Callithrix jacchus: one gene and its partner. The protein of the gene in region 1 purifies or fractionates together with the protein of each later gene. This does not show direct contact. Links are inferred from orthologs where the notes say so. Each region holds a gene or a part of one and is shown on either strand. Other genes may lie near its edges.

Region 1 (3,562 bases):
ACAGAGATGCTACAAGGGTGTAGAACAGGTGGGCAGGTATGGGCTAAGGTCACAAATGAAGAGTCTTGGAAAGGAGGTGGGGATACCTATTATTTGAAAGTAGGAAGGATGATGGAGAGAACATCTGCTTGTAGTTCTGAGGGCAGGGCTTCAAGCTAATGTAGAATATAAAAGCTATGGAAGTAAAAATAAAAGTCAATTAAAGGAAGGACTACTGAGTTGAAGAGAACAGCCTTAATTCTGTAGAAGAATCTAATCAGCCAAATATTATGACTTTATATATCAACACTTAGTAAGTCAGAATCAAACAGAAAATGAATGGTGGTGTTATCAGTTTCCTAGGGCCGAGATAGCAAACTACCAAAAAAGTTTGGCTTAAAATAACAGTTCTGAAGGCAAGAACTCAGAAATGATGGTGTCTGCAGGACCAAGCCTTCTCTGACGGCTCTAGGGGAGAATCGTCCTTACCACTTCTAACTTCCGGTGTTTGCTGGCAAGCCTTGGCATACCTTGGCCTGTAGAGTCACAGGCTCATCTTCCTTCCCTCTGTGTCTGTGTGTGCAAACTTCCCTTTTAAAAAAAAAAAACCACCAAGTTAAATCAGACTGACCCTGATGATCTCATTTTAAATTTGATTACCTCAATAAAAGAACTTATTTCCAACTAAGGTCAGATTCTAAGGGACTGGGGATTAGGGATACAATTTACCTTTTTTAGGAAACACAGTTCTACCTGTAGCAGATGGGTGCAAGGGTGTAGGTCCAAGGCTGATAAGTGAGCGTGGATAAAGGGAGTGAGAGAAAATGAAGCTGCTAATGAGAACATCAGGGGAGTGACTGACCATGGGGCCTACACTGGGAGAAGCAAATTCTGGAGATCAAGAGTTGGAGGGATAGGGTAAAGGGTTAACAGGAAGGAAGTTACAGGGCAAGCTGGTTCAGCAGCAGTCATGGTACGAGACAAGATCGAGAGAGTGGGGACTTCAGGGTCTAAGATCTTGGATTCATGACATGAGGCTGGAGGTTTGCCTGTGACTACAGCAGGTCAGCTGCAGAGGCCGCATGGAAGAATATGGAAGATGACGTGAGGGAAGGGGACAAAGGACAACTGTATTGGGAAGTGCTAGTTGTGAAGAAAGGTGAGATAATATCCTATAGCTCAGGAGATAAGGACACGGGGAAAGGGCAGAAGATTTGGAGGGGAAAGACTCTAAGAGTCCTCAGAAATGGGGCACAAGTGTGGAAGGAATCCTAAGGAGCAGGAAACATGGGAATTCCTGTGTGACCACAGTACAGTGCAGAAGAGGTCTCTTTTGGTAAAGTCTGGGAGTAAACGTTGGGGCTGGAGGGGGAGGAAAAATGAAGGCAAAATGATGAGCCAAAGCCTTAACCAGATATTTCATGTTGTGACAGTCATTACTGAGCAAAAGTTGCCTTTTGATTTGTCTTGAATGTCATGAGGGAGTGGCTGAAAAAGCCCCCGTTGGTAAACCAAAACGTCGGTACTGACTTTTGGTCACAGCCCTCTGCCTAAGACTCTGCAGCTTTGCTGCCTAAAGGGCCCTGTGTTGGCTCCTGACTGCAGCTCTACACAGAGGCCACAGGCAGTGAGATGAGCAGCAGGAGAGTTGCTTAGTTATATAAAATAGGGACACTGCTACCTCCCTCATAGGGCTGCTTGGGTTTTTGGCCTACAGTTAAGACCTTAATAAATATTAGTGGTGGTAGCTACCATTATTATAATAAATCCCACAGTCTAATGGAGGAGGGTTGAAAACATACTCCTCAAAATCTTAGTAACAATACTGATGAGTCCCTCTCTCCTTCCTCCCTTCCCCTAAAGATAAAGAATCCACCAACATAATCCCAGAACATTTATTTCCAGAGGTTTTTCATCAAAGGGCACAATCTTGAATAAAATTATACCACTATACCTAAAAGCAACGCTACGCAGTAAGCAAAATCTGCCCTGAACCCTTTCACAGAAGAAACCTCAAAAAGGCATTTTCCGTCTCCTGACAGTTTTACAATATTCATACCTTCTATGCACTTCAAGTTCCATCTCTCACTTTCTAACTTCTTTAACAGAAATGTGTGTTCACAAGCTGTATGTGTGCACATGTGCCTGTGTGTACACAAAAGGCTCATTTTTACCTAGTTGATAAAGGAGTTGAGACAATGTTTTGGAAAAAATAAGTTGGGAAAAAAAAGTTACCCCAACACGATGGCAAAGGCAAGCTAAAAAGGCTTCATGCTAGAGCCGACTCTCTGCTCAAACTCTTACATCCTAAAAATGTCCCTGTGGGGGCCTAAAAATTGAAATCCACTTGGTTCATGGCCTTGAGTTCACTCCTGTCCTGAATTTCCCCAGTGCAGGTCCAGAAGGGCGAGATGTGGCAGAAAGAAGACTCCAGGGACACAAGGTCTCAGGATGCACAGTTCACCTTGGCCTCATGTGCCTGGGCTGGGGAGAGGGAGACTATTCAACAGCCTGTGTTTGGCTGGGTACAGTGGCTCACGCTTGTAATCCCAGCACTTTGGGAGGCCGAGGCAGGCAGATCACTTGAGGTCAGGAGTTTGAGACCATGGTGAAACTCCATCTCTGCTAAAAATAAAAAAATTAGCTGGCTGTGGTGGCACACACCTGTAATCCCACCTACTCAGGAGGCTGAGGCAGGAGAATTGCTTTAACCCGGGAGTCGAAGGCTGCAGTAAGCCGAGATTGCACCACGGCACTCTAGCCTGAGTGACAGAGCAAGACTCCGTCTCAAAAAACAAAAACCCCAAAAACAAAAGCCTGTGCTTTAGACCTGACTCTTTAGCCTTGGTTTCTCCCAGTACCTTCACTGGGTCTTAGGAACTTTAATGCTCAAAACTAATCCCTGTGCCCCAGGAACTCCATCATGAACCTCAAGAGCCCTCCTAAAAGTATTTGGTCGGTGACTTCAGTCTGACCACGAGCCACCTGCCTCATTCCACAGTACCCTTCTTGGCATCTCAGTGGGGAGTCATGGTGCCTTGCCATGTAGAGCACATAGCCTGCTTTAAGAAAAGGAGAAGGTGGGTAGAGGAAGCTGAGGCTGCTGTGCAGGCCACTGCTGAGTCCTGGCATGGGGTCGAGTGAAGTTCTGTGGGAGGGGTTGGGCCCTGGGGGACCCTCTTAGGCAGATGCCTTTGCTGCTTTCCGAGCCTGGAACTCCTGTTTTGCTTTCTCCCTCTGTTCTTGCTCTCTCTGGATCAAGTGTACACGGTCTAGATGCCACCGCTGCAGTTGCTGCTCATAGGTGGCGATGTCCTCTGCTTCACAGGTGGAGAGTTTTTCCTTCACAAGCTGCGTGGTCACACTTAAAAGACTTTCTGACTCAATTTTGCCCAGAGCCTGAAGCTTCGAATGTAAGGCCTGTTGGAAACAAAGGGGAAAAAAGAAGAGAAAGGTAGAGAAGTGAGAGGAGGGTACAAAGAGGAAAGATGAAGCCACCTGCAAAATATCTACATGTTTTGCTTGTAGAAAAAAACCATTTTGTTAGGAATTGTCATGTTGCCTTTCTTCTAGGTGCTATTAT
Region 2 (4,500 bases), on another chromosome or scaffold:
TTCACCTACCCTCATCCGCGTCGTACATACTGCCAAAAGATTCCCGAGTTCCTAACTCTAGAAACCGAAAAGACAAAAGAGCGCACAGAAGCCACCAGCGTCTGGAGCTATAGACGAATTAACTTCCGTCTCCAGCGTTCCCAGAATACTATGCGTCTCACACGAAGGCCGCCCACAAGGACGCCAAAGTTAGGATCTGCGCCTGCGCAAAGTGTAGGGCGCGCTGGGGCGGGCATTAGAGTTGCCTACGCGCAAATTGTGTGCCGCCGCTGTTGGTGGCTGATTGAAAAGACAGCTCTCGCAATCTGCGGTCGGATCCGTCCCGTGAATGTTTTATTTCTGCTTGTTTTTTAATGTTGTTGCACAAATAACGACAGCTGAAAACAAAACCAAGTATAGTTATTAATAAAAAGTGTTCGTTCTGTGAATCCGCGACATTGGGATGTTAAATTTATTTGCCTTTTTAAGGACCAAAACAACACGAAGCTATGTTTTATTTTTATTTATTTAATTTTTGAAACGGAGTCTCGTTCTGTTGCCCAGACTGGAGTGCAGTGGAGTGATCTTCGCTCACTGCAACTTCTGCCTCCCAGGTTCAAGCGATTCTCCTGTCTCTGCCTCCCAGGTAGCTGGGATTACAGGCGCGCGCCACCATGCCCAGCTAATTTTTGTATTTTTAGTAGAGACGGGGCTTTCACCATGTTGGCCGGGCTGGTCTCGAACTGCTGACCTGAGGTGATCCACCCGCCTCGGCCTCTCCAAGTGCTGACAGACGTGAGCCACGCGCCCGGCCGGAAGCTCGTTTTTAAATGTGATTTATTAAGGGCTGCTTGTGATAGCAGTGAGGCGTTAAAGATGGTGGAAAGTGAAAAACCGGCCGGGCGCGGTGGCTCACGCCTATAATCCCTGCACTTTGGGAGGCCGAGGCGGGTGGATCACGAGGTCAAGAGATCGAGACCATCCTGGTCAACAAGGTGAAACCCTGTCTCTACTAAAAATACAAAAATTAGCTGGGCATGGTGGTGCGCACCTGTAGTCCCAGCTACTCGGGAGGCTGAGGCAATAGAATTGCTTGAACCCAGACGGCAGACGTTGCGGTGAGCCGAGATCGTGCCATTGCACTCCAGTCTGGGTAACAACAGCGAAACTCCGTCTCAAAAAAAAAAGAAAGTGAAAAACCCAAAGCACACGCAGATCTCTTCCGCCCACCTAGCTTAACCCTCCGGTGCCTTTGCGGCAGCTTTAACTAGGTTCTCAGTCTCAGCGCTTTAATCGCGAGAACACACGGGATTAGACAGGAGAAGAACCAAGACACCTCCCAAGTACCCACGCGCTTTAGTCTCGGGTCTCGCGCGCCTCGGGGCCTAGTGAGCGCGCGAGCTTGTGGCTCCGCCCCTTCGCCTGGAGCTACTTCCTCATGCTGCCTGCGCGCCTAACGTTCAGGCTCTTGAGCCCTTTCCTGCGTGGATCCGTTCCCACGGCCGCGCTCCATGGCCTCCCGGAGCCGTTCCTGGGGAGGAGGTGCCCTGCCGCCTCCTCCTTCCGGAGCTCATCGAGCCTGGGACGCGAGATTCCTCATGACCCGGTGAACACGAAGGACTTCGAAGAAAGTGCTGACATGCAGGAGCATTTTCTCTTCCCAGAGTACCTCCTCGAGCCGGAGCCGGAACCTACCCCCAAAGAGCAGCTGCGGGAGCTCCAGCAGCAGCAGGAGGAGGAGGAACAACAGAGGCAGCAGCGGCAAGAGGAGCGGCGACAGCAAAACCTACGGGCCAGGTACCGGGAGCCCCGGGTCCTGGGGCACCCGGACCCGGCAGTGCAGCCCAGCGGCGTGAACTGCTCGGGCTGCGGGGCAGAGCTGCACTGCCAGGACCCCGGCATGCCCGGCTACCTGCCTCACGAGAAGTTTCTCCGCGCGGCGGAGGCAGGCGGCGGGCTGACGCGGACCGTGTGTCAGCGCTGCTGGCTGCTAGTGCACCACCGGCGCGCTCTGCACCTGCAGGTGAGCCGTGGCCAGTACCTGGAGCTGGTGAGCGCGGCTCTGCGGCGGCCGGGGCCCTCCCTAGTGCTCTACATGGTGGACCTGCTCGACCTGCCCGACGCCCTGCTGCCGGACTTGCCCGCGCTGGTGGGATCCAAGCAGCTGATCGTGCTGGGAAACAAAGTGGACCTCCTGCCCCAGGATACTACTGGCTACAGGAACAGGCTGCGGGAGCGACTCTGGGACGACTGTGCCCGCGCTGGACTGCTGCTGGCCCCTGGCCACCGAGGGCCACAGGACCGGGAGAATTCGAATCCGTCAGACTGGTCCCGCACTGTGGTCAGGGACGTGCGGCTGATCAGCGCCAAGACCGGCTATGGAGTGGAAGAGTTGATCTCTGCCCTTCAGAGCTCCTGGCGATACCGTGGGGACGTCTACTTGGTGGGCGCCACCAACGCTGGCAAATCCACTCTCTTTAACACACTCCTGGAGTCCGATTACTGCACCGCCAAGGGCGCCGAGGCCATCGACAGGGCCACCATCTCCCCTTGGCCAGGTGAGTCTTAGGAGGCTCGCCCTCTTCGTTTTCTGACAAGGTGGACGTCTGGTCCTGGCGGAGGCACCGAGTACATCCTCCCTTAATGTCCACTACGCTGCCTGAACCCTTCCCTTTACAAATTCCCTCCCCACTCTGGTCACACCTCTCTTCTGTGTCAGCTTATTGCTAGGAAAAATTGAGGATGTGTTGTAGTAATTTTCTAACGGAAGTGATTATGGAGCACTTCTCTGTTCCCAGTCACTAGGCGCTGGAGATACACCAGGGAACAAAGCAAGGAAATGGAAAGTTCCTGTTCGGGAGATTTGCTTTGTAACTACTTTGTATGTTGTTCTAGAAAGTGTGTGTTCTTTTTACTTTCTGAACCTCTCTCCACCCCTCAATCTTACTGTTCACATGTTGGGTTTATTCTTATGAAACCAGTGTACTATACACATACAACATGTGAGTAATTCGTTAATGACATTTGTGATTTTGGTTTTTGAGACGGAGTCTCTGTCGCCCAGGCTGGAGTGCAGTGGCGTGATCTCAGCTCACTGCAACCTCCACCTCCTGGGTTCAAGTGATTCTCCTGCCTCAGCCTCCCAAGTAGCTAGGATTACAGGCATGCACCACCACACCCGGCTAATTTTTGTATTTTTAGTAGAGACAGGGTTTCACCATGTTGGTCAGGCCGGTCTTAAACTCCCAACCTCGTGATTACCCCCCCACCTCGGCCTCCCAAAGTGTTGGAATTACAGGTGTGAGCCACCACACCCAGCCTAATTTTCGTATTTTTAGTAGAAATGGGGTTTCGCCACATTGCCCAGGCTGATCTAGAACTCCTGACCTCAGGTGATCTGCCTGCCTTGGCCTCCCAAAGTGCTGGAATTACAGGCAGGCACCACCATGCCCAGCTAATTTTTGTATCTTTAGTAGAGACCGGGTTTCACCATGTTGGCTAGGTGGGTGTCCAACTCCTAACCTCAAGTGATTTGCCCACCTTGTCCTCCCAAAGTACTAGGATTACGGGTGTGAGCCATGACATCCAGCCCATTAGTGCAATTTGATGTGTGGCTTCCCCAGGCTCAGTGTCTCAGATCTGTAATTCTAGTACCTTGGGAGGCCAAGGCAGGCAGATTGCTTGAGCTCAGGAGTTCAAGACCAGCCTGGGCAACGTGGTAAAACCCTGTCTCTACTAAAAATGCAAAAATTAGCCAGGCTTCGTGACGCATGCCTGTAGTTCCAGCTACTCAGGAAGCTGAGATAGGAGAATCACCTAAGCCCAGAAAGTCAAGGCGGCAGTAAGCCCTAATTGGGCCACCTCACTCCAGTCCTGCCTTGACAACAGAGTGAGACCCCAGAAAACGGAAGTATCAGCCTTGTGACTTTAAGAAACTTCTGTGGCCAGGTGCAGTGACTCACACCTGTAATCCCAGCACTTTGGGAGGCCGAGGTGGTCAGATCACCTGAGGTCAGGAGTTCAAGACCAGCTTAGCCAACATGGCGAAATCCTTGTCTCTACTAAAAATACAAAAATTTACCAGGTGTGATAGTTGGTGCCTGTAATCCCAGCTACTCAGGAGGCTGAGACTGGAGAATCACTTGAACCTGGGAGGCTGAGCCGAGATCGCACCATTGCACTCCAGCCTGGGAAACAACAAGACTGTCTCAAAAACAAGAAAGAAAGAAAGAAAGAGAAAATTCTGTAATCTGTAATTGGAAAACGAGTCCTTCTATGGTTTAAATTTTTTGTTTTTGTTTTTGTTTTTTGAGACCGAGTCTCACTCTTGTCGCCCAGGCTGGAGTGCAGTGGCGTGATCTCTGCTCATGGCAACTCCCACCTCGCAGGTTCAAGCCATTCTCCCCAAGTAGCTGGGACTACAAGGGCACACCACCACACCTGGCTAGTTTTTTGTATTTTTAGTAGAGACAGGGTTTCACCATGCTAGCGAGGATGGTCTTGAACTCCTGACCTCAATTA

The links.
Region 2: the proteins of MRPS27 (region 1) and NOA1 purify together in Homo sapiens (co-immunoprecipitation; 3 studies listed by BioGRID and IntAct, counting the BioPlex papers as one, with this or other methods). This does not show direct contact. The link is inferred for Callithrix jacchus from reciprocal best matches to the Homo sapiens genes MRPS27 and NOA1.

Annotation. Positions count from the first base shown.
Region 1 is NC_133503.1:138,936,944-138,940,505, reverse strand, and holds part of MRPS27 (small ribosomal subunit protein mS27), read right to left. Parts: intron 3,400-3,562; coding exon 3,160-3,399; 3' UTR 1-3,159. UniProt on the Homo sapiens protein: RNA-binding component of the mitochondrial small ribosomal subunit (mt-SSU) that plays a role in mitochondrial protein synthesis. Stimulates mitochondrial mRNA translation of subunit components of the mitochondrial electron transport chain.
Region 2 is NC_133504.1:139,818,770-139,823,269, forward strand, and holds the start of NOA1 (nitric oxide-associated protein 1), read left to right. Parts: upstream 1-1,391; 5' UTR 1,392-1,417; coding exon 1,418-2,537; intron 2,538-4,500. Other genes in the region: POLR2B (DNA-directed RNA polymerase II subunit RPB2), read right to left, coding at 10-28. UniProt on the Homo sapiens protein: Involved in regulation of mitochondrial protein translation and respiration. Plays a role in mitochondria-mediated cell death. May act as a scaffolding protein or stabilizer of respiratory chain supercomplexes. Binds GTP.